Lonchura striata: one gene and its partners. The protein of the gene in region 1 binds, or shares a complex with, the protein of each later gene. Links are inferred from orthologs where the notes say so. Each region holds a gene or a part of one and is shown in the gene's direction. Other genes may lie near its edges. The genes, in order: YEATS2, DR1 and MBIP.

Evidence for each region.
Region 2: YEATS2 (region 1) and DR1 share a complex: the UniProt entries of both Homo sapiens proteins name them as parts of the ADA2A-containing complex. The link is inferred for Lonchura striata from reciprocal best matches to the Homo sapiens genes YEATS2 and DR1.
Region 3: YEATS2 (region 1) and MBIP share a complex: the UniProt entries of both Homo sapiens proteins name them as parts of the ADA2A-containing complex. The link is inferred for Lonchura striata from reciprocal best matches to the Homo sapiens genes YEATS2 and MBIP.

Annotation. Positions count from the first base shown.
Region 1 is NC_134612.1:2,973,665-2,983,695, reverse strand, and holds the start of YEATS2 (YEATS domain-containing protein 2), read left to right. Parts: upstream 1-3,454; 5' UTR 3,455-3,494; intron 3,495-3,841; exon of another isoform or gene 3,842-4,180; 5' UTR 4,181-4,193; coding exon 4,194-4,293; intron 4,294-7,362; coding exon 7,363-7,460; intron 7,461-7,559; coding exon 7,560-7,652; intron 7,653-10,031. UniProt on the Homo sapiens protein: Chromatin reader component of the ATAC complex, a complex with histone acetyltransferase activity on histones H3 and H4. YEATS2 specifically recognizes and binds histone H3 crotonylated at 'Lys-27' (H3K27cr).
Region 2 is NC_134611.1:20,786,104-20,796,134, forward strand, and holds the start of DR1 (protein Dr1), read left to right. Parts: upstream 1-3,624; 5' UTR 3,625-3,706; coding exon 3,707-3,926; intron 3,927-8,643; coding exon 8,644-8,807; intron 8,808-10,031. Other genes in the region: retinol dehydrogenase 8, read left to right, coding at 115-298, 1,191-1,424. UniProt on the Homo sapiens protein: The association of the DR1/DRAP1 heterodimer with TBP results in a functional repression of both activated and basal transcription of class II genes.
Region 3 is NC_134608.1:24,890,227-24,900,257, forward strand, and holds the start of MBIP (MAP3K12-binding inhibitory protein 1), read left to right. Parts: upstream 1-4,400; 5' UTR 4,401-4,409; coding exon 4,410-4,532; intron 4,533-8,716; coding exon 8,717-8,836; intron 8,837-10,031. UniProt on the Homo sapiens protein: Inhibits the MAP3K12 activity to induce the activation of the JNK/SAPK pathway. Component of the ATAC complex, a complex with histone acetyltransferase activity on histones H3 and H4.

The DNA of each region.
Region 1 (10,031 bases):
TGTCACACACAAGTTCATTATAACGTTACTGTCTAAGAACTGTAAGCTATTTGCAGGAATATTTCTTTTTTTCTACTGTAGAGATCCAGCCAATGCTAATATGTTTATGTGTGCACATCTGTATGTGAATTATTTTGTGATCATTCTCTGATAGTGCTGTTACAAGTGATGCACATTAAGGCCCTGTGTACAACTTGTTAATACTGTAATCAGGGCTTAGTTTGTATGATTAGCTCCAAAGAAAATAATGTGTGTTAAATTTGAAAATACCTGTGCCTTGAATTCACCACTATTTTTATCTATTTTGAAGAAGAGTTTGGATTACTCCTCCCAGTTTTTTGCCTTTGTTATGATTGGTCTTACTGTCCAGACTGTTAATGTCCTTCTAGGAGAAATAAATCTTGCTGTTCATTAATTAGCACAGTTAAACTTGTTTAGAACATGCCTAGAATGCTTCCATTATTACAGTACTATTGCAGATCTAATCTAGGGAAAGCAGTATTTGTTTTTTTCTAATTTTTGTTTCCAGCAACGCCTCAGTGACAAAGGACTGAGTTTAGTCTTTGACTTCCTGTCCTTAACATGTACAGTTTCTTGTATTAGTCAGTAGCCTCTGTGATATTTCTGAACTCTCCAAAGTCATCAACCTCTTGTTCAAGACACAAAATATGAAGCAATAATATGGTGCAGCACGGCAATAAGCAAATCAAGAGACTTGAATGTAATGTACTGTTACTAATTTCATCTGTGTAAATGCTGGACCTATGAGTCATTCTCCTTTTGGTGCACCTGTAGCACTTTGGAGTCAGATTAATAGGAACTACTTGGCCATGGAAAGAGAGTTTACCTCCTGAACAGTTACTCATATTTTCGCCTGAAATCATATTTTCATTTTCCTTTTTTTGCTGAGGAAAACAGTTCTTGTTATTCCTTGCCAGTTCCTTTATTTACTGAAACATAAAAGCTGTAGTTCACGGAGAGCTGATCTTGCCCTCAAGAACAGCCTGGTGCAGCACAAATGACATCTGAACAGGAAAGCTCAGACCACTTACTGTGTGCCAGAGTCAATGTAACGGATCTCACACACAACATTAAGGTCTTCAGATTGTGCTGACAGTAGAAAAGTGATTTTGTAATGTAGCATAATTGCAGTTAACACCTGCTATATTTAAATATACTTCTTGCATAATTCTTTGGAAGTTTTTTAAAGTTCAGTGTATCTAATAAACATTTGCCTTTTGAATAGTTCACTGTGGTTTATTTAGTTTATGAGAAGTTCCAGGGTGGGGCTTGGTGTGGTACAAGGAGGAAACTCCCTCCTGCTTTTTTGGGCCATGTAACTTGTTGGATTCTGCCCCTTGTGCACTCTCTCTCCTTTGATCTCTTCTCCTGCCTCCCAGTCTAGGAGTTTTCTCTGCTGATCTTTCTGCCCTACCACGGGGAATAAAGGCAAGCTGGAGGCTGCACAGAAGAGCAAACTTGAAGCAAAACTGGAAAAAGTGAAAAGCAGGGAGTGGGATATGAAATACTGGGTTAGTCCTGGGTATTGTGATGAGAAGAAAATGCGAATGGACTCAGAAGGCAAAACCAGCATAGGAAATTGGGAAAAGGTAACAAAACATTGGGAAGGTCACTAGCAAAACTTGGTTTGGGCAGAATCCTGTAGGTTTATTCTGAAACTGGAGGCTTGGCCGTCTCAAGATGCCACACACACATGGCAGAGCAGGGGGCAAGGCTGCAGGGGGCAGAGCCCTGCTGAAAACGTGGCAGGCCAGCAGGGACTGCTGCAGCTCTGCAGTGTGGCCAGGCTTGGGTACAGCCACAGACTGGCTCTTGCTGCAGGAAAGCAACTTCCAGGCAAGTTCAGTGCTTGCAGAAGCTCAGCTTACTGCAGAAGGAAGTAATTGGGAAAAAAATGAAAGAGAATCCCCACAGACTGCAAAGCAATGGAAATACTTTTGAGAGCTGAAAAACCCACCTTAAGATATTTTAAATCTTAAATACAGTCAACTGGTGGCAGTATTCTAAGAACAGCTTCTTCCTCTTTCCATTAAGCAGAAAAAAGGAAGAAAATAAAATACACTACAGTCATTCCTGGTGAATAGGATACTGATTGTGTTTAAGAACAGTCTCCATTGATCTGCCATACTTCACATCTGGCAGAAAGAAAGGTTGGTAGTGTCAGAAAGGATAGTAGTGATCCTGAAATGAGAAGACCTTAAAGGCTAAGCTTTGAACATTCAGCATAGACCTGCTAATCAGTAGCCTCATAAATCAGTTTGCCAATCCAAGAGTGAACAGGATGTTAATTTGTGCTGGTTCAGGGCTAACTGAATGAAGCATGAGGCTGCCACGGACCATAGCATTGATACCATTATCTGTATGTGACAGAGGTATTGCAGCCTGGCCAGAGCCAAACACAAACCATGGCATTAGCCGCACCCATTGCACTGGTTTAGCTCTGACTTGAGAATATGAAGTATGATGAGTATTAAGTATAAGGGTTTTTTGAAGCCTATCTAAAGGTAGACCAGGGCTCCCATCCTGCCTCATGCTGTGAGCTCGTGCTCTCTGCAGCGCGATCACTCCAGGACTCCCTTCTTGGGTCTTTTCTTTTGCTAATCATAGGATCACAGAATCAATTAGGCTGAAAAGATCTCAGAGATCGAGTGCAGCCTATGACTGAACATCACTTTGACAACTAGACCGCAGCACTAAGTGCCACATTCAGTCTTTCCTTAAATATCTCCAGGGAAGGTGACTCCACCGGCTCCCCGGTCAGCCCGTAGCAATGCCTCATCACCCTTTCTGTGAAGGATTTCCTCCAATGTCCAACCTGAGCCTCCAGCACAGCTTAAGGCGATGTCCTCTCACGCTGTGCTGTTCCCTGAGAGCAGGGCCGGCCCCAGCTGGCTGCAGCCTCCTGGTCAGGAGCTGTGCAGAGCCGTGAGCCCCCTGAGCCTCCTTTGCTCAGGCTGGACACCCCCAGCTCCCCCAGCTGCTCCTCGCAGCACTTGTGCTCAGCCCCTTCCCCGGCTCCGCTGCCACTCTGAACACGCTTCAGCACCTCGATCGTTCTTCCGTGAAATATCTTCCACGCTAAAAAGTCCTCCTCAGACCTTTGAACACGTTAAACCACGTTAATCCAGGTCAGGATCAAATCACTGCGTTCGCCTGTCCGTACACGAGCCCGACCGCGTCGCCCATCCCGGTTTCCCCGCTCTGTGCCCGCTCTGTGCCCGCACCCCGCCGCGGGGCGCTCCCGGAGCGCGGCCCGGCCGTGAGGCGGCACCTGCCCGCGGCCGCCCCGCCCCGCCCCGCGCGCTGCCCGCCTGCGCGGGCCCGCCCCGGCCGTGACGGGCGGCGCTCGGCCCTGCGCTCATGGCGGCGGCGGCGGGACGGCGCGGCGGGGGTCGGCGCTGAGCGCCCCGGGCGGCGCGGCGGGCGGGGCCGGCCGGTGCAGGCGGCGGGGCCGGGCCGGGCGGCGGAGCGCGGTGAGCGGCGGGGCGGGCGGAGCGCGGAGAGAGAGCGCGGCCGCGGCGGCGGCTTTGTGTGCGCGGCGGGGGAGGGGAGCGGCGCCCGCACGTGGGACCGGCCGCGGGCAGCGCTCCGCCCTCCGCGCCCGGGGCACCGCGGCACCGGCACCGGCACCGCGGCGGCCTCCGCGCCGCCTCACGCCTGCGGGTCGAGCCCCGCTGCGCTCCCACCTCGGCGGTGCTCGCCGCCCCCTCACGGCAGGGTCGTGGCTCGGGCCGAGCCGCTCTGGGCGAGGCACAGCCGCTGTGTGACCCCGCAGCGGGGAGCCCCGGGCCGGTGCCGGGGCAGCTGGGCCCGCCGCCGGCCGCACGCACCGGTGTGCCCAGCATTGCCCTTTGAACGGTGGCGGTGCCGTGCGGGGGGAGCCCCGCTCTCCTGGGCTCACGGGGCCGCTGCAGCTCCGCTGGGGCTGTGGGCACCCCGGCTCCGGTGAGCCGCAGGCGGCAGGAGGCGTTTGGGGCTCCTGGGCTGTGCGGAACAGAACCAGCTCTCGGCTGGGAACCTGCGCCCTGATCACTGCCCCCACTAGAGAGGTGCCCCTTCTCTTTTGAGGGGTGCACCACAGGCCTCCACATGGTGAGAGGTTGAAGCCTGCCCTGACGGTCACTGTGGGAAAGGTTAATGCTTTTATTTTTCCTGCTAGTGGAGCAGAGAACATGTCTGGGATCAAGAGAGTGCTCGCAGAGAAGGACCCCGACTATGAGGAGATCACCGTCACACATCCCAGCAAGCGGCACAAAGCAGCCGAACAGTCAGGTAGGAGCTGTGGAATTGGAAATTCCAAATTGTCTGTAAACCAGTCAGGAAAAGGCTGGGGTAGGCATTAGGAGCAAAGGACAGACGTTGAGCAAGGCCAGTGGTGGTACCTCTATGTAGCCAAATGAAGATGTATCTTATGTGGAGTCCTCCCTTCCTGCTATCTGAACCAGAAGTAAGGTGTGAGGAGGCAGCCTTTGGTGCATGATAGGAGATGGAGCACAAGCTGTCCAGCACTTTAGTTCAGCGCTTTGATTCCTGTTGCTTCCTAAAGTGGTTACAGTCCACCTTCCTGTGCTGAGTAGTTATCCAGCCTGTGTATTTGTTCTGTGGCTGAAGTGTGCTCTGGGAAAGATTGGCAGGTTGTTTACATTTTGGGGGATAGAGGTCACAATACAGCGTGGGGAGGAGAAAAAAAATCCATGACCCTGCAGGGTAAAAGAGATGCACAACCCTGCAGTGCACGCACTGGCTGTTGGAAGATGACAAATGTTTGCACGAGCTGGCAGATGAAGCAGAAGGAAGCTTCTTTGATGAAGTGTAGAAAGGATAATTTAGGGAGAAGGAAGGGACTTTGAAACATGCAAGAGAGGAGGAACAGGAGCATGACTGAAGGAAAGGTGGATAAAGAAGTGTAGTGGAGCAAGTAGCTGGATGAGTAGGTTTGCATTTGGCACGCTTGGGTATGCTTGCTTTGGGAACCAGCCTGTTGGCACAGTGCCTGGGACAGGTTGCAGTCTCTCTGGGCAAATGAGAGTAGAGCTGCTTGCCCCGGGGGCAGGGAGTAGGCTAGTGATTTTTGGCATAGCACAGCTAGTGAGAGAGGATTGCGATGGGAAGAGCTGACAAACAGGGAGGTGAGAAAACCGAGGCTGGCTGTGGGCTCTGAAAAAGATCCAGGAATAGAGCTGCCAGTTGGAGAGTGACAGAGGATGGCTCAGTGGGTGATGTTTTGGAGGATGCTGTACAGCTGGACAGGTCTGAGGAGGCTGAACTCAGGGTTGAGTGTGTTGCTGGACAAGTCCTTCTGCCACGTGGGGCCTGGTGCAGCTGTGCTGGAGCTGCCCATGTCACCATTCCCAGCTGCCCGCCCTGCCTGGCTGCCAGAAGCCACCACCCTTAGTTCTGGCGTGTCCCAGGGGCTGCAGGCAGGTTTTTAATCTGCTTCTGAAACAAACTTCCAGGAGGTCTTGATGATGAGCAGGCAGAGTCTCAGGGCCTTGGAAAACTGGCCTTGCCAAAGTGAACTTTGCTTTCAGGAGATTCCTCCAAATTGGCTTCTTTTCATGAAAGATCTCCAGCTTTCAATACTAGAATTCCTTAACTACACAAATTTCACTATCATGGTCTTAATGAGGCACTGTGGTTGACACTAAGCTGAGAAAAAATTAATATAAAGTGTTCTTAAAAGCCTCTGTAATATAACCACAAATCCTGAAGTGTTTGAATCATCATGATGCTGCTGTGGCATGGCTTTAGCCTTGGAAGGAGATGCAGTTGTCCCTCTCTGAACTATACCTCTCATGCCTTGATCTGTTTTGTTTATTTTAAGCATATAGCCTTACATGAGAATTTCTTCATCGTGGGTTCATGGCTGGAGGTAAATTATATCCCTCTGGTTTTTAATTTGCCTTACTCAAATGCAGATTCGACCATAATTGTGTTTTAATGTAGGCTTGAACTATACACATACACACAAACATATATATATATGCCCCTATATATATCAACATATAAATATATATACATACATATATATATACATATATATATATATGCCTGTGTGTATATATGTATGTGGAAAGGAAGAAAATTATTTAGTATACCCCTGTTGCATATAGAGGCATCAGTTGCCTCACTCCTGTTGTAAGTACCTGATCAGACAGTAAAATGATCTGTGCTATCTGGAAGATACCAGCAAAGCTTTGACTTGCTTTCATTTCCCTTCTCTCTGGTGATATTAGAAACCTCTTCAAACAGATCTGTACTTTTTAGGAGGACATATGCTTCCTCTGAAGCTCAAGCCAAAGTCTTTGTGCTGTTGCCTCCTATTTCATGTAGAAACAATGTAAGATTTTTCCAGGGAAAACCAGACTTTTGCTGATCTGCTTTATTGTGGGGTCACTCCATTACTGACACAGGCTGGAGCACCTTTTCCAGGCTTTCTTCTAGAAGTGTAATTCCTGCTTTGCCAGGTTCTGACTTAGAATTTGCTGAAAACAGTTGTTTGAAACCCCTTGGTGTAATGGAGGTGCCCTAAATGAAGGGTGATATTAAAGTCTACAGTAGGTGTAGAGCAAAAAGAATAGTTATGTTTATACATATCCTAGAAAAACATGGTAATATGCCAATTCCATTCTTAGCCACTAACTTGCGGAAAGGTATTTGCACAGTTTGAAATCCTAAACTACATACTTTCCACCAAGGTCACTAAACTCCTGCTGAAAGGCTAAATTTTTTTGTCTGCTGTGCTGGAAGAGGATTTTGTAAGAGGTAGACCAGCTTTAGATAATGTAGTTTCCTTTGTGAGTAATAAACAGCTTGTAGGCACTCCAGAGCAGGCTGCACTTCGTGCCAGGGCTGTATAAATATGAGTTTACTTGATTCTTGCTGTGTGAGGTGGTGTAAATCTCCTGGATGTGGCTCTGGCCAAGGAGAGCAGAAGAACATCCGTGGTGTTCCAGCTCGCTCCGGCGCAGTCGCAGCGGTGCCTGCGCTGGGCCAGCACTGTGGAGTTTTCCTTTTACTGTTTACAGCTTTACTGGGGCAGAAGTAAACAAACTGGCCCTGTTCTTCCCATTTTCTGTTACTTGCCATCTCAGACCTAAAAAGGGAAAAATAGCTCTCCACATAAGCTGGCTTTTAAAGATACATGTGGTTTTTGTTAAGACATAACTTTTTTTTTTTTAAGAAAATGATCCTTCCCTTTATGTGTGTCTGTGTGTTGAACTTACTATCCCTTCAGTTCTCACTCTGTAGTGATTTCTGATCTTTCTGTTTTCAAATGGAGCCTCAAAAATAGAAATGTAAATACTTCCTCCTTTATTTTCCATGTGTGGCCTTGTACAGCTCGAGATGTTACTGTGCAGAAGATTGAGACCATTATAAAGGAACAGTTTGCCGTCGAAATGAAGAGTAAAGAACATGAAATTGAAGTTATAGATCAGGTATAAAGGTTTTGTTCTTATAAATACCTAAGGTCTTGGTGTTTGGGGCATGGGGGATTGCTGCAGTGCTGACCATTACTCTTTGTTTCCTTTCTGCAGCGCCTGATTGAAGCCAGGAGGATGATGGACAAGCTGCGTGCCTGCATTGTGGCTAACTATTATGCCTCTGCTGGCCTCCTCAAAGCTGGCGAGGTAAAAACTACTCTGGGAGTAACAAGACTTCAGGGAGTCTTTGCAAAGGAAGGTGTAGAGTTTCAGTGGCTGTTAGCTGATGTTTGGTGTTAAGATGTGATTGAATGAAATAGTGGAATACAAACTGCAAGTGGGGTGGCAGTGGGAGAGGAGACCTTTGCATCATCTGCTGGGTCCTGGCAAGGAGGAGTCTTCAAGAAGAGTTGCAAAGTTGTTCAGCAGCCCCTGGTTCTGGTTTCTGAAATATTCTGCATTTTTTTTCCTCCTCAGTTTTTCCCTGAGAGCACTGTCTTGTTTCTCAGACACTGCACAGTTTGTCCTTGCAAAGCCGTGAAAAGTGTGGAATATGTTTTCCTGTTTCACAGGAAGACAGTGGCAGCACATGCATTTGGGGACTTTTCAGGAAAAAAGAAAAATAATAAAGATTTCAAGATTGTTTGAGACTCGGGCAGTGCTGTGAAACGATCTTCCCTTTATCCTGGCAGTCAGTCTGTTAATGGTTGGTGAACAGACTGATGGCAGCAGTAAAGCAGGAGATAAATCAGGGAGATATCACAGAGTGATTAAAAATTCACAAGATTAAAAAGCCTCAAACCCTGTTAGTTAAACCCCAGTTCTGAGCACTCTGCCCTTAATGACTGCTAATTGCAGGGTGTTCATGACTGTACAGAGTCCCAAATGACATGTAGTTCATTACCAGTGTAGGCATTTTGTTACCATCTTTTCAGTTCAAGTTGATTTGATTTCCAGTGATTTTTGGAAGCTGTCAATGGCTGCTGCAAACATGGGTTTCGCTCTAGTCCCATAAGAATTTCTCTTCCAAGCACTTGCTCTCAATGCTGCTTCTGGTTTTCCTGTTGTGCTCTTCAAAGGACTTGGAGTGAGGTAAAAACAAAAAGGTTCAGCTTGTTTTTCCCTCTCTGAAGTTGAGTTGAGCAACTGGAGTTTGAAAAGGTTGTGGTGGCCTTGGGAGGCTTGGAGATCTCTCTGCCCCTTTTAATTTTTGTGTAGGCAGCTGAAGAATGTGACCTAAGTTCTAATCTTTGTAAGTGCCTTTGTCCATTGTCATCATGTGTCTGCAGGAGCTGTGCTGTGGGGTGTTTGCTTTTTTCCCTGTTGATTTTCACACTTTACAGAAAAAATATATTCTGTAATTGTTTTGAGGTGTTCACAAAACTTACTGGTGCCTCCTTGCTTTATTTAGTTTTCCACTAGTTTTTATGAGTTTATGGCTGTATCTTTATTGCATTTTTTTTCCTCAAAGTCCTGATTTGCACACAGATTAAATCAGTTTTTCCTTTGTTTTGAAATTGTTGCTGATTTCAATTTTCTTTGTTGTCTGTTTTTAATTGTGGCTCGTGTATGTTTGACCAGGCAGTGAAAGATTGTCTTGTTTCTGCTTCTGGTAGAATAGGAGTCTTTGTAGTTTAATTCAGAACTTCTGGGAGATGATTTATAAGTTCCTGACCTGTTCTCAGAAATATAAACAGTTCTCAAACCCAATGCTACTGAGTTTTGAGGCTCGGGATTCCTCATGATTGTGCTTTATTTTGTTTTCCCACAAATTATTGGACAAGATGTTGGTCGTTTTACTTGACTAGAGGTAAAACAAAAGGAGATGTGTTTGGTTTGGACTTCGGGGTTTTTTGGACAGGCTGTGTGTGTGTCCCTGCCCTTGGATAAATGGCTTTAACCCTCCCAAGCTGGTAACTGAGAGTTGGTAATTGCTCTGCTCCTGCATGTAATGGACAATTGGAAAGGAAATTCTGGAATGCTCCTTCAGAGGTGGGACAGTGCTTGTAGCTCCACTCTTGCTACCACCTCTCGAGGGCAGTTCTGCTCTGCAGTGATGCTGCTGTCTGCTTCCCCCTCAATCATGTTGGCAGAATTCTATATCAGAGAACTTAATGTGGATTAAAAATAAAATTGTAAAGAGAAAAAAAAAACAAACAAAAACAGTAACAAAACAAACAAAGCAACAAATGGATCCCAAGTCAGTTTCTTGATTTGTTTTCCTTTCTGACATGCCCCATGAATAATTGTTCTGGCCTGACTGATGCAGGTGGTTTGGGCAGGGAAGGAGCCTCCTTGAGCTGTGGCTGCAGGAGCTGAAGGGAGGCGTCAGTGCTCTGCTGCTGCACAGGGGTGTTCCTGCTGACCTGGTTCATTGTCAAACCCAAGTGACAGGGAGGTCTGGTGCCTGGGTCAAGAAGCGGCCAGGGGACACTTGTTTTGAGTTGATGGATGTTTTCCTTCTACTTGGGAAGTAAAAAGCAATTGCAAGAGAAAAAGAAGGGCCTTTGTCATGGTAATGAAAAAAACAAGAGAGATGTAAACACTTGCCTGTCCTGTTCTCTCCCTTGCAGGTTTAGGAGGATC
Region 2 (10,031 bases), on another chromosome or scaffold:
ACATACTGTTTGCTAGTGCAACTTTTCAATGTTCTTTTTGGAGAACAATTGAGGGTGTATTTTCCTTGGAGGACAGAAAACAACCAGTTAACCTCTTTTTTTTTTTTTGAACAGGTTAAGTTTGATTGAACCAGGCCCAGTGGTTACAGAGTTTGAAAGAAAAGTGTTTGAAGATGGAATGAAAATGGATCTTTCAGCTGCAGATAAAGAAACAGCTGAGATGTTTACTAACATTTACCTTAAAAATTACAAACAAATTTTTCAGAGCCTGGGACAAAGTGCTGAAGATGTTGCAGAGGTAACTCATAAAAAATTCATCTTTTGTTGTTGTTGTTTTCTTCCCTTTGTAATTTATGAATACAGTGGTTGGCTGGTGGGTTTTTCTGGTAGAAGCATTCAGATTAATTAAATGTACACAATTAAAAAGTTTTTTTAAAAATTCAAAAGAATTTTCAGAGTCTTTAAACAAAAGTCTACAAAATACTAAAAGAATGTTCATTTTGAATTATTGAAGATAACTATGAATTGTAATTTAAATACTACTCAGATATTGGATGCCCTTTACATCCTCTGGTGAAGTCTGAATATTCTGCATTGTTACCATACATCCACCCAGGGTTCCCAGTACTGGTAAAGCTCTGTCCTTTCCACCTCACTCATAATCCCTCCACTAAGGGAAGTTCACACAGCCACCCCAGGCCACCAAGGCACAATAAAAGAAACTTGGATGTTTCTGATGTTTGAAGCTTCCTGCAGGAAGACAAGTTTAGGCCACCTGTGGGAGGGGATGATGATTTCAGGTGTTTGCTAGAAGGAGTATCTTTAGTGTCAACTGATGATTCCCAGATCTTGGTGTCAAAGGCACAGTCCTGTCCCTTTAGCAGTGAACTGCAAAAGAGAGGATCTACCTACTGTGGGCATATAAGCCCACAATCATTTGGAAGACTACTCAGGATACTAAATTGTCAGATGCTATTGCCATGGTATAGAGAAACAGAAGAATAAATAAGAAATACTTCTTATGGCCTTTGAATATTTCAAGAAGAATTTCTAATGATGGTTTAGTAAAACTATACAGGGTTTTACATAATTCTAGCACTTTATTCTTCTACTTTTCCACTGAAAACTGGGTTTTTACTTTACTGTCTTGGTAAAGGTTCTTTTAAAATTCTGTTTCTCCTTCTCTACAGCATACAGTAAAGATAATTCTTGCAGAAAATCCACCTTTTCGCCATCAGACCAACACCTTGTATACTCCAATGACAACTCTGAAGTACGCAGATCCAAATGGAGATCTACCCATTGACATATTCTACAAAATGGTTTTTCAGCATGACAAAATCTTCAGTGCAAGTCTCAACTTCATCAAATTGCTACGGTGGAGAAGCAGAAAGAGCTTTGACCTGGGAAAACCTTCACAATAAGTATGAGATTATATAGTGCAAATTGGAATTATTTTTTGTAGCTACTGATGACACAGTATGTTGTTATTCAAATGCCTTTGGTCTGTAATTAAGAAAATGCATGCAAGGTACTTGTTTGAGCTTAGCTAAGATATTCATTTCAATGTGTATCTCTTGAATGTTACTGTTTGCAGACCCTTGCAATTAAAATCCTCTAACTGTAGTTTTATTCTGTTTAGTGTTTTGCTTTTTCCAGAGATGTTTTCTTAGGAACACGAACACTGACTGATATTTGTGTATTCAATATTAACCTGACCTCCTTCACTTACTTGAATATAATACACACTGAGAAGTGTACAGTATGCAGATGATTTAGATTCTTAATATCATAAAAATATGTTTTTACTTATTAGGATAGAATCAGTATTGTAATTGGTCAATTACACTGCCATTCTCATTTCCAGAAGTCGGATCTATTTATCAGCAACATAAAAGAAAGTCTCATCAATCTTAAAATGTGACTAGTAGAATATTTATTATTAATATATTTTTATTATAATATTCTAAATGCTTCCTTTATATGCAGTGGTTACTAGCATATTGCACTTAGCAAGCAATAAAATGTTTTTTTAAAGCATCTTAAAATAAAATATCTTCTTACTGTCTGGGTACTACTTTTTGAAAACAAAGAATTGTCAGTAATAAGTAATCTCAATCCACTGAATTCCTTCAGTACCTTCGGTGTCTGATACAGAACCCTCTTGTTCCAAGCTATCCTAATAAGTACGTGTTAAACCAAAATTCTGTCATGTAGAGCGGATCTTTTCCCTTGCTTTTTCTCAGCCTAGTGCTCCAGGTGGTTTGAGGCCAAGGTTTGAGGGGAGCCTGGCTGCAGTGCTATTGCTGAGCCTGTCGTTGCTGTTCCCTGACCGCAGCAGAGGCCGAGTGACCCTCGGGCCTCCAGGCTGCAGCTTCCCAGCACATTCCACCCACAGAGCCCAGCTTTCCTTCAATACCGTCTCAGAGAGCCAAAACCTAATTCCGTGCTGCGACTTGCAGCGGCCCCGCCCTGCCTCTCCCCAAAGGAGCTCAAAGTTTCTGCGGCTCCCAAAGACTGCGGCTAATGCAGGGCTTGCTCTGCAGTTGTGACCCTTTTGGTGGGGCCTAGGATGCAGGGGCATGCAGGGGACTGAGGGGACAGGAGCAGCCGCAGCAGCTGCTGTGCACAGCTGGGGGCCCCAAGCAGCCCAGCATCAGCGTGTGGATGAGAGGTGAACAGAAGCAAGCCCGAAAGGAGAGAGCAGGAATTAAATGACAGCAGAGTGCTGCTGGGGCTGAAGGGAGCCTGGCAAATTGCCCCTCTGCAGCTGAGATCTCCTTGCCACCTGCTGAGGGTCAGCACAGGGTACTGGACAGAGACACCCACAGAAGGGCTAGGCCTGCCAGCAGCCCCAGTGTCGCTCAGCTGTGCTTGTCTCTGTCCTGCAGCTCGGGCTGGGCTGCATTCCGGGGCAGTTTTTTCCTTTGCAGCACACAGCAAGACAAGACCAGGGCCGTGGGTTTAGTGAGCCTTTCACAAACACTACCGTGGTCTGGCTAATTCCGTCTCGTGCAACCCTCACACTACTGGCTATGAAGTGAGTGCAAGCAGAAAACACAGTGTAATAGATAGATAGCTGCCGAGTAAAGCCAGCCCTGCCTGCAAGTCGTGAATCAACTGCGGAGGGACGAGCCTGGCGGGGCTGTCAGATCCCCTGCTGCTGCCGGCACCGAGGGGAAAGCCGGGTGTGGCCGGGTGTGGCCGGAGCGCAGCTCCAGGCGGAGGGCGGCGGCTGAAGGACCCCTCGCCGCCGCCCGCACGTGGCAGCGCGGCCTTTCCGGCGCTCCCGGCGGCGGAAGCCGCTCCGGCTTCCGGCGGAAGCGCCGTCCCTCGCAGGCTGAGCCGGGCTCGGAGCGTTTCCGCCTCGCGGCCGCCGCACGGCCGGGCCAGCCGGGGCCAGCGGAGCCGCGCGGGGCTTCCGCCGCTCGCCTCCCCTCACACAGCTCTTAAGGCAGCGGCGCCGGCGGCCGAAGGATGTGGCGGAGGCGGCAGTGGCAGGCGCCGCGGCCGAGGGAGCCCTGAGCCCGAGCAGCGCTTCCCGGCGCCGCGACCCTCCGGCCCGGCAGCGACCCCCGGCCCGGCCCCGCCGTCCCCCGCCCCTCGGCGACGCCGCCCCCGCGGCCCCGCCCGCCCCCGCCGGGTCCCCGCGCCCTGGAGGCTCGCGCGGGCGCCGAGCGCAGCCCGTGAGCCGAGCGCAGCCAGGATGGCCTCGTCGTCCGGCAACGACGACGACCTCACCATCCCCCGGGCTGCCATCAACAAGATGATCAAAGAGACGCTGCCCAACGTCCGCGTGGCGAACGACGCCCGGGAGCTGGTGGTCAACTGCTGCACTGAGTTCATCCACCTCATCTCCTCCGAGGCCAATGAGATCTGCAACAAATCGGAGAAGAAAACGATCTCCCCGGAACACGTCATACAAGGTGAGCTTCCGCGGGTGCTGTGCCGCTGCCGGCCCGGGCACCTGGGAGCCGCTCCTGTCCCGCTGCCGCGTTTTCCCCTCTGGTTGCTTGTAGCTACGCAGAACACAAAAGGCAGGCTCTGGTAAGGGTGTGGAGGAGAAGCGTGTGCTGTCTGGCTTGCCAGTCGCGCTGCAAGAGAGCATGTCTTTGTGTGGTTAGAGCGGCTGCTGGCTGTGCTCAGGACCAGCTCCGGTGTTGTGCCTCAGAGAAGCCTGTGGTGCTGTGAGTGAAGTCGTCAGATCTCTTCCTCGTACCTGGGAAATGAGGTCTGCTTTTTCGAATGGATGTGCAGCGTGTTTCAATAATATGAATTTAGTAAATTTTTTTTTTTTTTTAGTTGGAGATTGATTATGTGGGGCCCAGACTTTATTCCATGGTATTCTTGTCTGGAATCTCTAAAGAGTATATTTCTTTAGGACTGTCCATAGAGTCTCATTGTTTAATGTTGGATCTTCGTATCTGTTTCAGAAAGCATTTAAACGTGACCTATGCCCTTGTATTTTCTGTGCTGTTTACTTGCACTTCTACTTGCTTGAATAAAAGGCGAGTTCTCTCTCTGTCTTGTTGGTTTTTCTTTAAATTCTGTCGCAAATAGGTTTTCTTGCCTCATCCCGAAGTCTGCATTAGGCATCGTTTTTTGTCAGAAGTCACTTGCTTTGCTTCTTAAGCCGGGGTTGTTGATGTCGTTGTTTGCTGCAAACAAATTTATAGCAGCAGTAGTGAAAGAGTTCTTCACTCGGCTGCTTAGTAGAGGTATTAACAGCAGCATTTGTACTACAGCTGTTTTCAGGGCTATGATGGTATCGAGTTCGTTTAAAAAAATCTTGTCGTGATCTGATTTTTTTAAGCAATATTTGCTGTTTGAAGGAAAAAAAAATTACAGAAGAGGTTTAAGTACTTGACTGGGTCATGAACTGCAAAAGAAAATAAGTAGCATGTACGAGCTTTAATATTAAATTAAATGCATGTAAGCTTGCAAGTTTAGCAAAGTAGCTCCATCACAGAAGCCTAGGATGTAAAGTAAAACCTGTGCTTGCACATGGAAGCATACTTTAGGTGTGATGCTCTTTAATACATGGATAGTTTTTTCAAGTCGCCACACAAAATGTTTGAGGTTAGTTCTTAACACAGGACAACGTGTAATCCTTAAGACCGAGGGCAGTAAAGGGTTTATGTATGAAAGTATTTTGTACCCAGTAGTGGTAGTCTGTAGAAAAGAGTTCACCTATTGCTGTCCTAGGCTTTGTGCAGGTTTTTTGGAACAGAAATTGAAACTAAAGTGGGTGTGCATAACATCAGCAGATGGTCCCATGCCAAGTATTTTGCTGGGTTCTGTGTCCTTATGTTATCACATCTCAGAGTTAGAAAAAGTTATTTTCAAATTAAATCTATACTTTGTAGCAAAATATTGCAGTGTATCCATTTTTGTAATGTTTTAGAGATGAATGGATTTTCTGCTGTGCTTATGTTTAAGGAAGTAATTGCTATTAGCTCATTTCCAATGCTGGTCAGCTGGCAGATGATCCTTCTGTGAGGTTTGAGGGTTTTGATTGCCACTTTTGGAAACAGTGATTGTGTGTATAAGTAGAGCATTTCAGCATTTTCATCAATCTTCATACATTCTAGATACTTGCTGTTTTGAATGCCTCTTAATGCAGCAGCGTCATGATAACGATGCTAACAAATGAGGCAGTTGAAATCTGTTGTGGTCGCCCATGTATCTTTTTTGTTCTGAATGCTTAGAAGTCAAATGAGGCTAATGGCCATCACATCACACCTGGCCCAGCCTAAGCACAGGGTGCTGCCAAGAGGAGTCTTTTTGTACTTTCTGAGAGCGGGAGAGTTCAGATTGTATCTGGCAATTGCAGATACAGCTGACCCTGTGGCCTTTGAGAATTTAGGGCAGAGCAGGGTTTCCTCTCAGGTGAGTTTGCTGGCTGACTGGGGTCTACATGGAATTGTTGTGCAGTAAGGTAGGCTGTGGATTGATGTCAAATCTTGTCTCTTCTTTTCATGGACTGTTAGGATACTGACAATGTGTATATTAGCACGTAATTTTAAGAGTCCCACAACTGTTCATGTTTGGGATTTTACTTTGGGAGGTCTTATTTCCTTTGAAAGGAGCATAAAAAATTAAAAGTCTCAGATATTAATGGATTGATTTTATAAAATAAAAGTATTACTAGCTATGTGTCACTGATTACTCAGAGACCTCCACCTTCATGCAGTCATTAAGAGTAGGAGGAAACTGGGAAAAGGATAATTGTGATTTGGTGTTTGTAAATATGAATGGTGCTATCCCAAATGCTGTATTTTGGAATTCAGCTGTTTACATTTGGTGGGATAATTCTAGCCTCAGGAAAATACTAAATTTTAAGTCATCTGGGTAGGATGGTATGTTTAAGACTCAAAAAATAGAAAGGCTTTGAGTTTTGATGAGAGAGCAGCTCTGATAGAGTAGTAGTCACTTGTCCCACATTTTCTCACCATGCTTGTATAAAGGGATTCATAGTCCTTCCATTCATATGTGTTCTGTAAGCCTTGATGTGCTTCAAGAAGATGGTCAACTTTGTAAGTTGTTTCACAGGCAGCAGAATTTTGATGGAGTAGATTTATGATGCATAAATCATTTATGGTTATTCATAGCTTTGTTATATTGAATAACTGTAAAAATCTGTCTTGGTTGTATCACGTGAGGGATTTTAATTTTATTGTTGTGTGTGTCGGTGCTATATTCAATTCACAATTGTAAGTTCTTTCCATTAATTTATTTTCTTTTAAGAACCATATAAAATTTCTGCAAAAACACATCTTGAGATTAACTTCAGACTCGGTAGTCTGATCGTTCAGATTGCCAACCCTTTTCTTTTGACAAACACCTCTGATTTTGCTGTGATGATTTGTCTTAGTGATGTTAGACTTGTAGATTTCTTCAGTTTGATTTAAAAAGTATGACTTAAAGAAGTTTTCTGTATATATTGTCATTTTAAAATTGATATATTGTCATTTAAAAAATATATATATTACATTTTAAAATTGAATGAGTTCTTAAATATCTGTACAGTATTAACGTAACCAGTTCTGGTCTATGAGACATGGATTTGCCTCCTCTCTGCTGAGGCTGGATGAAACAAGCTTTTGAAGTTTTTGGTAATTCTCTCAGAAACTGTGGGCTAATTGGAAGAAGTATTTTCAGTGTCTGTGTGTGGGCTGAGTCTGAACTGGCATACTGTCTCTGAAGTAATTTGGTTGTCTCTAAATCAGTTTGTCTTTTAACTTCATTTCTTTAAAAGAAATAAGTATTATGTGAATTTCTTTGCCAGGTGTTCTCTATTAAAGAGAAGGTAGTGCTGTAAGACTAGAGGGCAGCACCCACAGCACTGCTGAAGACTGTGTGAGTTGTCTCTTAGTACAAGTTGGAAGCTGAAAACTTAGAGAATGCCTTTGGGATATTGTTTAGATTATGGTACCATGATGTGCTGCTGTAGTTATGGCTAGGAAAATGTTGCTTACAAAACTAGTGTTAGAATATTATCTGAGTTACTGTAAGATCTTGTTTATAACAAGTTGTTGATTGCTGTTGTGCAGTTTAGTGCCGTTTCTTCAATAGCTTGTCACAAAAGTTTGAAATTAAGATAAAGGTTAAAACAACTCTTGTGTTGTAAACTCTGAATTGTGTAAATGCTGGAAATTAACCATGTTTTTTATTAAACTGATACTTGTTTCTAGTATAATTGGTGTTTATGTAATGTTTCCAGTTTATTCTGTAATAGGTTCACTTTGGGTGTGTGTAGAGGCATGTCATAGTAAATGGTGCATGAGGAAACTGCCTTTTGTCACATGTGCTACCTGGGTTTTTATAATCCTTTCTGCTACCTTTGCATTCTTTAAAAAAAGTGTTGTTGCAGGATGTAGCTGCTTTGCCAATGTCTTCGGGCAGATAAAAGTGCAAGATTTTAGCTTCTGAATACATTTTAATGTGGACATAAATAGAAGGGGTTCAGTTGAGAAATAAAACAATAAAGTGCTTATACATAACTTTATATGGCTTTATATGTGTGAACTATGCATTTTATATATAGGAATTTAGATCCTAAAAGACAAAAGTTAAAATTCAGCAACCCAACATAATATTATTTAGTTCTGCCTTTTTGAAGGATCTATGATCACTTTACATGCATCACTTCTGCTCTGTTGTAGGTTTCTAATTTACCTTCTACTGAAGACTTGCAAAACCTGCAAAGGTAGAATCTCTGAGAGAAAATTCAGATAGAAATTCAGTTAGGAAGGACTTCTTAGCTGTCTAAATTTTGTCAATTCTGATATAGAAAAAATGGGATAAAGAGGTCTTTTGGAGAATAATGCCTGTCTCTAGCAAAGTGTATCTGAAAGCCCTGAATCCTCTGCAAGTGTAAGCTTCTTTGGTTGTACATGATGAACCTTAATTTTTTTAGCCTAAAAACATGTATTCCTATAGGACATAGCAGAAGGGGGGGGGGGAGGGGGAAATAGCTGTCAGATCTCTTTAAGAATAGAGGTTTTTGTCAGCAGATAATAAGAAAGTTACCAAGTGTTTTACTTTTTTTTTTTTTTTTGTTTTAACTAAACAAATCAATATCTATTACCAGAAACTTTGTAGAAGGTAAACAATGTCTTTTTTTTTTTTATTTCTTTCTAGCGCTAGAAAGTTTGGGGTTTGGCTCCTATATCAGTGAAGTAAAAGAAGTCTTACAAGAATGCAAAACAGTAGCACTAAAGAGAAGAAAGGCCAGTTCACGCTTGGAGAACCTCGGCATTCCCGAAGAAGAGCTACTAAGGCAGCAACAGGAATTATTTGCACAAGTAAGTGAAGCAATCCTTGTCCTGATGAGCTTGGAATAATTAATGCTGCAGGTCTAGGGCCATGCAAACATGTGCACATGTTAACAAATATCCCCTTCCTTGAGAATTGATGTGGCATCTGAGATGATACTTCTGTGATTTGACATATAGGACTTCGTATGTGAACAGATTTCATATTCTAGTTTTAAAAAGCATGGAGTTTTGCTGCTACTTGAGTATTTTCAGTCTGTCATGGAGAAGATATTGAGAATTAGTTGACGAAGTAAAAGAGTAACAGCTGGTTTCTAGGAAATGACCTGTTTTGAAGCATTAAAAAATGAAAATAGCTTTTCTGTTTCTGACCATCAGTGCATAAATGTTATTTCTTATACTTGGAAAGAAACTTTATTCTTGGCAAGACTATAATTGAGTGAATTCATGCATAAATTTTTAAAGAGGCCATTGAGGCATGGGAAAAGCATTTGTCTGCAAACAGTGTACTAACACATACACATTCTACTACTTCATCCCAGCCTTATCCCCTTCCAGTTTTCCCAGATAGTTTATCATCTCCCAGTTTGACTAAAACCTGATTTTACTTACTTCTTTTTCTCCACTATCTTTCTCTTGACTGCTCTCTTAGTTTGACAACACCATTCTCTAAACTAAGAGCTTGGTTATCTGGTATTTCTCTTTTCTTTTAACCAAGGCCAGAGTCTTATTTTCTCGCTTTGCTTACTCTGATTTCCTCTGATAAAAATGCTTATTCAGTTAATGTCTGATTACTGTGGCCTTCTCTCCCCTTTGCAATACTTTTATCTTGCCGAGACTGTTGCTTTTCATGTCATGACACGCCAAATACTTTAATCTTTATTGCATGATGAATTTTAAGGCATTTAAAATTTCAGCATACCGTATAGATATTGCAGTGAACTAGTTATGATCAAGTCACACGCGCCTAACTTTTGTTTGAATGTACTAAGTTAGAAGGACCAATATGGCTGCTTCTGGATTTTGGGTAAGGTTTACAAATAGGCAGTTTGATACCTGTTTTTTACTTACTATTTTGTGCAAGTAACTCAATGTGATACACAAAATAAAAAAGCAGCAAAACTAAGGTGTATTAAGGGAGTACTAGCTCCAGAGTATCGCTGAAAAGAATAAATTTAAAAAATTGTCTAAAACCTCCTTATGCAAGCTACACTTTGTCTAAGGAATGACAACTTGAAGAATATTCTTTTAAAA
Region 3 (10,031 bases), on another chromosome or scaffold:
TCCCGTTAAACTTGAGTTAAATATATAATACGTACGGCATGTACATATTAATGCAATGGAAAATTATTAATTTTTAGTCTGTCTTCAGGTATGAATGCTTAATTTCACAATGTTTGTGTCAAATTACCAACAGTTTGCATAAAGGGGAAACACTGTGATCATAGACACCTACCCTGCAAGGCACCTTCTACATTTTTATATGATAGTCTCACAAGAAAATGATAGGAAGGAGATTTATAATCAAATCTTTCAAAGTAGCTATAGAAGTCTAGAATTTGCAAACAGAGAGTAATTATAATAATAGTTCACTGGCTTCCTAAGAAGAGCTGTTGAGCTAGGACTTGCAGGGGTCAGTTCTCAATCCCAAATTATATAACTGAGCTGAAGGATTTTGTGCAGAGTGCTAATCATATTTGCAGATGGCAGCAAGAAAGAAGGGAGGCAGGTATATAAAATTTAAATATGTTGTAAAATTACTAAACAGCAACAATGAAAATAAAGACCAAAGTAAGGAAGAGCATGAAGCAGTATTAGAACATAACAAGGATAAAAAAATTCTGAAAGGAAGGGTCATAGGTACATGTGCATGCCAGGATAAGGACACTAAACAGAGTGCAGGCAACAGCATCACAAATGTTAGGAATGATCAAATTACTGCAAGTCATAACTGTAAGATACTTATAGGTTTGTTGGTTTCCCTTTTTTCTCTAACAGCAAATACATCAGGGTTGTATTTCCGCCAAGACATTTTGTACAAATCCCATTCCAATCCTGTGTGAACAGGGCTTTCTAAACTTTGGTAAAGTGAAAGGAACACCAAAAGGTCAGCAGAGACATTTGCTTTGAAGGAATGCAGCTCCTATTGGAGAGCCAGATTTGCAATTCAGAGCCTTATTTGATGAACTTAATAAGCACATGACTACATTTTAGGGATGCAGGCTGAGGTTTTCTCCAGCTAGGCTAGTGCTTAAAATTAGGCACTAGCTTAAGTATCTTGTTGAAACAGTATCCATAAACTTTGTTGGGGTGATGCCTTTTCCTGGGTACTTGGGAAGCAACAGAAGTGAAGTGCTCTTAATTCTGAAATTAATGCTTGGAAAAAAAAAAATAAAAGCTTTTATTTTGGAGGGACTTGGTAATTTCCTATTTTAACCCTATTTATCGATTTAATGAATATGTTACTATCAATTTCGTTTTTATAACTGTGTTAAATTAGCCCAGCACTGATAATCTGAATATTAGGAAAAACTACAATTACAGCAAGGTGTCAAACTGAACTATTTTCCTGGGGCTTTGGACAGAATTCACAGTATTGTTTTTATCTTTGAAGCTCCAAATTATTTCAGGTTTTTTTGGTTGGTTGGGGTTTTTTGTTTTGTTTTGTTTTGTTTTGTTGTTGTTGTTTTGTTTGTTATTTTTTTTTTCTGAAGCATTGCCTCTTTTGCCTTTCTCTGTGCTACAGCTGACATAAGCAGAATTACACAGCATGAGCTTTTCAATTCAGGAGAAAAAATCTGCTTATATGTTACACAGTCTCCTTAGCTCAGCACTTCACTCTTTGGCACAACAAACCTCAGTGACTGGTACATTCTGCCAAGACTCACCTTTCTTTGGGTATTAGAGACAAAATTAAAGAGTTCAGAAATTGTGTACTGTAATATTCAGGAGAAGAAAGAGTTATGACAGTAATGACCAATGGAGAGAACTTGTGTCAATTTACTAAGGTTTACTGTGATTTTAAATAGCTTAAAGGCACCTAGACTTCGAAAGAGGTGAATGTTTATCATTTTACAAACAAAATAAAAAGAAGCAATAGTCCAAAACCAAAAGAAAATAGTTTTCTAGTTCAAAATAATTTTACTCCAACCACAATATTTGATATTTAAGAACTTAGTGGATTTGTGCTTATATTTTTCAAGGTGTTTTCAGTGGGAGAGGCTTTTATATACCTCAATGATCCATTCAGGGATCAAAGCTGCAAAAGATTTAATATTATCATGACAGCTCTATCCCTGAGTGTTGAAAGCAACTCCAGATTACTCCCTCCCTTGTTTGTCATATTATTAAAATATCTGGACATTACTGCCAAGTTAGACATATTTAAATCTTCTGATTCCTCTTTCTAAACAAGTATCTCTATCTCTGGCAATCTACTTCTTGCCAGTTTTCTATAAATTTATTCCAAATTACCAGTATCTTTCCAGCAATGAGAGCTTCCAATATTTTATTGCTTCACCAGCTTTAGTGAACATGCCATGTAATTTCCTCTGTCTTTATGGAGGCCTGGATTTACTGTGGCTAGCTTTACTTCCAGAGGCAATTACAAGTGAATTAATTTTTACTGTGCACTACATCCAGTGAGTATATAATCATCTTCTGGAACCATTCTGTTCTGGTCTGTCTCTTCCATTAGATACGAAGGTTTGACATTTTTGCCTTAGCTGTTTGTTTAATGCATTGCCTAATTTAATCTGTGAAACATTAGATAATACCAAATTTATTCAACTAGCAGCTGCAACTCAGATCAAGGTCTTCTGAGACAGAGCAAGTAGGAAGAAAGTCTTTCCCCATGGGAATCATTACTCTTTCTCTAAGAGGAGACATTTGCAAACAGCAGGAAGGCACCCAAGATCCAGTTTCTGCTTAGTAAATAAAAGGTGGGCATCAACAGCTCTACTGACTACTTTTGCCTACTCTCCTTGTAACGAGCACAGAATAATGGTGCTCATTACAAGGAGACTCCCACTGTCTTTGAAATCCTCCACATTCATTAAATCTCCCTTATATTTCCATGTATCTTTCTGATATTTATATGCTTACCTATTTATTTTTCATTTGAAATGTTTTTTACCCCAAAACAACCTCTGGCTACAGGTAAAGATAACATGCTCAAAAGGAAAGGAAAGATCTTAGATCTCTCAGTTAGGAAGGCTGCACGTACCCATTGATAAAGTAGGATACATCTGCTCCATCACTCTAGGAAAGCTGGAATCTATCAGGTAGCTGAGCACTCATCAATTGAAGTAAAGAATTGGTTCAAATGCCTGGACCTGTTCTGTCTTATCAGGTCATTGGGAATTCATTCAGGATAAACTGCCTTCTCTGACACCGATGCCAGGTTGTTACATCTGTGATCCATAATTCTGCTCTGGCCAGCAGATCACTTATGTATTAATTCAGTGTTTTAGCACTGGAGGGGAAGGGGAAAGGGCAGTGTATTTTCCTTTATTCTTGAATTCTTCATTATTTGATCCAAATGACATTATTACATAGTGCAGGGTTGCTCCAGCTACGTGTCCAGAGACAAAAACTGCAAGAGTCAAGGTTAGCTGAAGCAGCCCTTGATCGTAAGCTGGAATTACTACTGTTGCACAGAAGTGCAAAACAGAATTCCACAAACGTTCTTAACTTACTACCATATTCTGTGCACGTGTTCAAAATACTATCTGACAAAAACTGTATTTTCAGGAATTAAATACATTTCTATGTTTCAGAGCTTCTAAATCACAAATACATTCTGCCGTATTTCTGAATCCAAACATTGGTCCTCATCAACGCAAGCAAATGCCATCTAGTTCAGCCTAGATAAGATATTCTTGCAAAATGCAGACATCAATGCATATGTTTGTAATCATTAAACACTGAAGTCCTCTTCAGAACTAATTTTTCTCTGGAACTTGAGCAGAGCTTTCTCTGCTTGAGTCCCATCAAATGTTGTGGGTTGCTGGTGCTGAAAGCCTTGTTTAGTAGCATTTATTTTCACTACATTAAGGTATGTCTTAGCTGAAAAAGAACCCTCAAAACATCAGTCAAATAAATTCATCTTCCTTTCTAATATTTTTATTTAACAATGTTTTAACATTTGTATATACTACTGCACTCACTATTTGTCAATTGAATAAAAAATATAGTCAGGGAACAGAAAGAAGTCACAGATCAAAAATAGGTATCAAAACAAACATCGGGTAGGAAACCTTTGAATGCATTTCTACTTATATTTCTTAGGAATTTCTACTAAATTTCTTAGGGAAGAAATTTAAAAGTAAAATGTCTTACAGGGAATAGAATTTTCCGACCCCCAAAATCAAGAGTACTCTCACAAAACTCGTAGTCTGATTTAAAAACAACCTTGCTGCAGCCAGAGGAGTCAAGGCTTTGAACAAAACGCATGAACGCACAAAAGTGAGGGGCAGCCAGCCAGGCCCAGCAGAAACAGGGGCAGCAGCGCGATGAAAGGCAGCCCCGCGGGCCGCTCCCCCGAAGGAGCCCGCGCTGCGCCTCCCGGCAGCGCGCCCCCACAGCGGCCCGAGCGCCGCCATTGGCTGCCGCGCCTGTCCATCAGCGCGCGGGGCGGGGCCAGCGCCAGGCCTTCGTCATCGCGGGGCGACGGCGCGGCCCGGCCCTGCGTCATGGCGGCGGCGGTGGCGGTGCCCGGCCCGCTCCCGCCCGGCGCCCGCGCTCCGGAGGCGGACCCTGCGGCCTCCGAGGTAGCGAGCAGCGCCCTGCGCTGTCTGGCCGGGCTGGCGGGGCAGGTGAGTGCGGGGCGGGCGGAGGGAGAGGTCCTGGGCGGAGCTGGGCTGGGCGCCGCGCCCGCCTCACAACACTTGGCTTTGGGGCGCGAGCAGGGCTGGCTCCTGCTTCCCCCCGGCCTGCGGGGCAGATAAGGCAGCTGCCTCTTCCGGGAGTGCCCGCCTGGTTTCTGCCGGGGCTGGGCGGCGGTGCCGGCTGCCTCCCCCGCTCCCTGCGGCCGGGGCAGCCCCCGGTGCGTGGCTGCTGCTCCCGCTGCGTCTCTCCCGCAGCCGGGACCGTGCCTTGGCCTCGCAGTGACGGGACCTCGCGCGCCGCTTTGTAGTTTGACGGATGATAGCTTCCGTGGGAAAGTGCAATTTGCTTAATTGCTGTATCTTATTAATTAATTGCTTAGAGTTGAAAAGCTGCTGAAAGCTTGCAGTACATTAAATCAAAATAAATTTTCAGGAGCTTAAAGTTAGCCCTGCCTTGGTAATGGCATGCTATGAAACACGCAGTGCCTCTAAGGGTCAGAAGTTTTAAAGGTGCTCTGCTCTTTGGCACTTAAATTGAAACACCTACTTTATGTTTAGTAATGTCTGTGAGTTGTGAAACAAATGTTACAGTAGTAGTGGAAGGCCCGCCCTTGTCAGGAGAAGGTTTTAGTAATAACATTTTTATTGGTATAAACAATTTATACATTAATTTTCCACTGTGGAAACATTTATGTAGTTCTGTGAAGACAGAAGTACACTCTTACTTCAAGAGTTAGCAGTTTGAAAGTTTGGGGCCAGATGATGAACAATATATGCAGGAGCTAGTGTAACTTAATGTATGTTTGGTAAAGAATTGGTCTCTTAGATGCAGAGGCAGTTTAGGAGTAGCTGCTGGCTGATCTGAAATGATATTTTAGAGTGTTTCACTTCTCATCTGTATAGAATTTTATTATACTTGCTTTTCTCCTCCAACTATGCTAGCAGTTGTCTCTATTTTCAAACAAAAGGCAAGAAAAATTAAGGGCTTGGTAATTCAGAGACTTAGTTAAGAGTCTCAGTTTTCCTCTCTCTAAAATGGTTAAAAACTGCTATGGCTTTTGAACAGGAGTACAGCACTAAACACTGTGATGTCCAGACACAGCTGACGCATAGGATTACCAAGGCATGAAAACTGTTGAGGTTTAAAGGCCCCATAATCCTTCCTGGTGAAAATTCTGAATGTGATCAATGAAGAGCTAGTGACTGTCAGTTTATCTAAGTGGGAGGACAACACTATGAATGACAGTAATAGAACACATCAGAGAAAAGCTGGAACTCTTGTATTTATGAAAAATACAAAGGAGAATAAGGGGAAAGTTTCCTAAGATTTTAACTGGGGTATTCATCAAAAGTTTATGAATTGTTTATAAACTACATTAAAAACTCTTATTCTACCTCTTGACTTCAGCAGCTTACTTTTTCTGCAAAGCTGCCTCTACAACTAGCATGTCATTGGAAAGGCCCTGGTGATTTTTAAAAATAACTGTGTGTGCACAGACCATTGTGAGAGAACTGCTTAGAGTTGCTACATCCCCTCAGTAGTTACAGTAGCTATGGTGCAGAGTATAATTGTCTTCTTTGGTGTTTGGAGTGTCTTCTTTCCTTGACAACAGACACGTTTCACTGTGTCACATTCAACAGTGCACTGGTTGGATAAGGATCTGGTTGCTCCATCTTAGCTGTGAAAGTCCTTTTGATTTCCAGTTGCTGACACTTGTCTGCCAGTGCTTGAGTACTGACAGATTTAACTGCTTAGGGATTCTAGCAAACTGCCTTGCATTTCTGACTGAAACTACTGATTCCCCATTTCCCTTTTATAGAGATGACTAAGCATGTGCCAAATTGTTAGCAGTCACAGTTTGATTCACTACAGTAGTTTAAGTTGGTTTTATGCTAGTAAATTGGGCAGTAAGCAGGAATATTTCTGGCACAGGATTTTTTTAATGGAGCAATCAATGGCAGTATGTGACCAGGACATCTGAGAATAACAGCTCTTAAAACCAATATAGCTGATCCTGAAAAGTTCTTTAAGATTCAAATGATAGCCAGTGTTTATGTAAAACAAATTTCAAAGAGCTGAAATTACATATAATCCTGTAAATTGAATAGGCTGTGGACTTGTAATTAGTCAAAGGCTTTGAAGTTATCAAAACATTGAATTTAAAAATCTGTTTGTCACAGTTCTAATAAGTAGTAGGATGTGAAAGACTGAGAACTTACTCTGTGGTACTAGAAACTTCTGTTGATGCAGGAGGGCTTTATATTTTTATTTAAAAGCAGTGTCTGAATTAAAAATATGACTGTCCTCTAAATGATTCTAAGTTCTGTTGCTTTTTGTGCCTTGAACCACCTGGACAGGAGGTGTCCATTGTGATATTGTGAAGGCACATATCAGATTATTATTTTTTAAAAAGGAGACTTATTAGGAAATTGCAGTAGCACTTCTATTTTGTTTCATTTGGATGACTTTAATCTGCCCCTTTTTTACCCTATCAGTAGACTATAATATAGCATACAGGAGATATTACTCTAGAAACTTCAGGCAGAAATACATGCTTCAGATGATCACATGCACAATGGCTTAATTCCTAAATTAAATTTTATTCCTGCTATGTTCTAAATACATTCTTGCTTTTGAAACTTCTTCAAGATTAGTATATCCTAGAACATTACTTCTCCTACATCCTGTGTACTTAGCTTAAGTACTAAACAGGGATAACCATTTGTGAAAATTATCTAAAATACATTATATATCTAGTCAGACTGTCTCCTTTGCTATGTAATTTGGGAACTGACCCTGAATTTATCAAGGCTGATCTTTGACTAAAGAAGGAAGGTTCAGGCTTATAATTCTTTACAAAATTGTGTTAATGCTGGGATTTGAAACTAACGTGGGACAGTTTATCATCCACAGCTTTGCCTGTGGAGTGATGAGACATTCTTGTGTCCAGTTCTCAGTATTTCATACACTTTGTGGTGGCTTCAGGACATGAGTGCATATGCATTCTGTGTTCTTGTTTATAAGGTTTGATGCTGTTAGGAGTTAAATGTCTTTAGACCATGAGTTGAAGGTCACTTTTGTCATCTTCTTGAGGTACCTTTTTCTGTTTCCACCCCTACTTTTTATTTTAATGGAAGGAATGAGGAATAGATATACAAGTACAGACATGATTTGGGAATTCAGTGTTGCTAGCAGAGTACCTGTAGTCCTCTTGATTTCAAACAGGAATTTATCTGTGTTTAGAATTTGGGGTATCACTTGCAGGATGTTTGGTTGGAGAACAACCTTCTTAGCTTTGGAGAATGAAAGTGATCATCTCTTTAAGATCTTGGGAAAAGCTTTAGAGTAACAAAAAGGGCAAAGTTGGGCGTGAAAGTGTGTTAGCTCATTAGAGTTTATTGATAATCATATTTGTATTAGGAAGTGTATTTATAGCTTGTAGAAGATACATACTTCTTTTAAACAATACTTCAAATTTATTATGTGTTGTTTTCTTTATTGTCTTGGGAGTTAAATATTGCAATTCCTTTGCAGTGAGAATAGACTGTGGCAATTGTTCATTTCAATATGAATGAATATACAGGAAAATAGTGTGATTTGCAAACAGTTGTAATAGTGATGCTGTTTAAGCTAGAGTTTGTTAAACTTTGAGATATTTTATGCCCTTATTTTTAATATAAAGCTTCTTTTGGATTAGCAGCAAGTAAAAATTCAAGATTGTGCCATGGTGTTACATCAAGACATGCAGGCATAGATAGTCTTGCAATCTTGGAATAAAATACATGAACTTACAGGACACTGCTATCCTGGGTCGTGTTCTTCATACTGGTGGTTCTAGTATTCATTAAAAGAAAAGATCGTGTGAGTGATTAACATGAACAACATGCTTTCATACAAGAATTAATTAAATAAAGCCAAGGATTGAATTAATACAATGAAAGTGTGATGACTAAGTAAGGAATTTTTAATTTTATAGTATATTCTACAAATACTAGCTTATTTGGAAAATGGCAGCTGCTTGGACTATAATTAATATCAAATATTTCCGATGCTCTCATCTAAAATTGGAATGGGTCTATATGAGACTGAGCATAATTGTTGTCTTGTAGGAGCCTTGTATACTTTTTTGATGTTACTACATATAATTTTTTATTGTTTTGCCCTATTGAAGCTTAATCTCGGAGAGGATATTGTGAAAGTTGTAATCGATTGGACCAAGCTTCAGAGCACATCAGCACTTCAGCCAGCTTTGCTCTTTAGTGCACTTCAGCAGCATATTTTATGTTTACAGGTAAATATTTCATGGGACACATTTGACTTGACAAAATGATCAACAGCTAAAAGTAATCTTTACTGTAAAATTCCAGTAATTTTGTTCTTACATTGCTGTGTTCGATAAAAAAGGATTACAAAAGTACAAAATGCTTGGGATTCCACTATGCTCCATAGGTACTCACATTTACAGATTTTTCAGATTAGTGGTGGGAATAGCCACTGTAGGTGAACAGGCTGAATAACTGCAGCCTCATTGATTTCTAGACTTGCATTGTAAATGTGATACATTTCCATCTATGGTGGGTTATAATTAAGCAATAAGACACGGCAGGTGTGTGTCATGCTATGATAATGATTCCATGCGTTGGGTGAGTTTTGAGGCTCATAGAGTGCTTTCAGTGGTTCAAGAAGTGGCATTATCCCAGCATGACACATCCTGGAGTGTCTTACTGCAATTAAATATATTTTCAACGTAGTTTTTTTTTTTTTAAAGAGTAATTTCTTTGACATTAATGTCTCATCTTGCCAAGTAGCCAGTCACCATTACTGTCATTTCTTTTAACTATTTGAAACTTTCCAACCCTGCCAAAAGTAATTTAGTTGCATGGCAGGGAGGGTTAGCAGTTTGTCAGCTGGTAACTGAGCAGTGTTTTGACCTTGATAGTTCATGTGTAAAAGATGGGATTTGCTGTAGCTAGCCAATGAATGATTTGAGGTGCCTAGTACTGAGAGGATCAAAAGGGAAGTTTCTGTGTTTTCTTGTCTGTAGGTAAAAAAAAAAGACCCTTTATTTTCCAGACATCCACCAGATCTTTGGTGTGATGAATAGAAAGAGAAAATATGCAAGATAAAAGCAAGTAAAATTTATATTCAACATGTAAGAGTGCTGTAAATGGGAATTTGATTCCATTTCATAAAATGTGACTGCTAAAAATCATGTTGTCTTTAAAAAACTTAAAATAATTTATTGAGAGAAAATAACCAGTGAAATTCAGACTACATGAAACTGATGGAAGTAAAAAAGAAACAGGGACATACTTATGTACTGAAGTTTTGATGTTACATTGTACATATGAGTTACTGCAGTAAAATAAGCATTTTTCCTGCCACAAATGTCAGTGCCTTTTCTCATTTAATTTCATGACCTAAGTAGATAATCAACTGTGTCAAACAAAGCATGTGTTCATGATAATGCCTATGTATTTCATGTC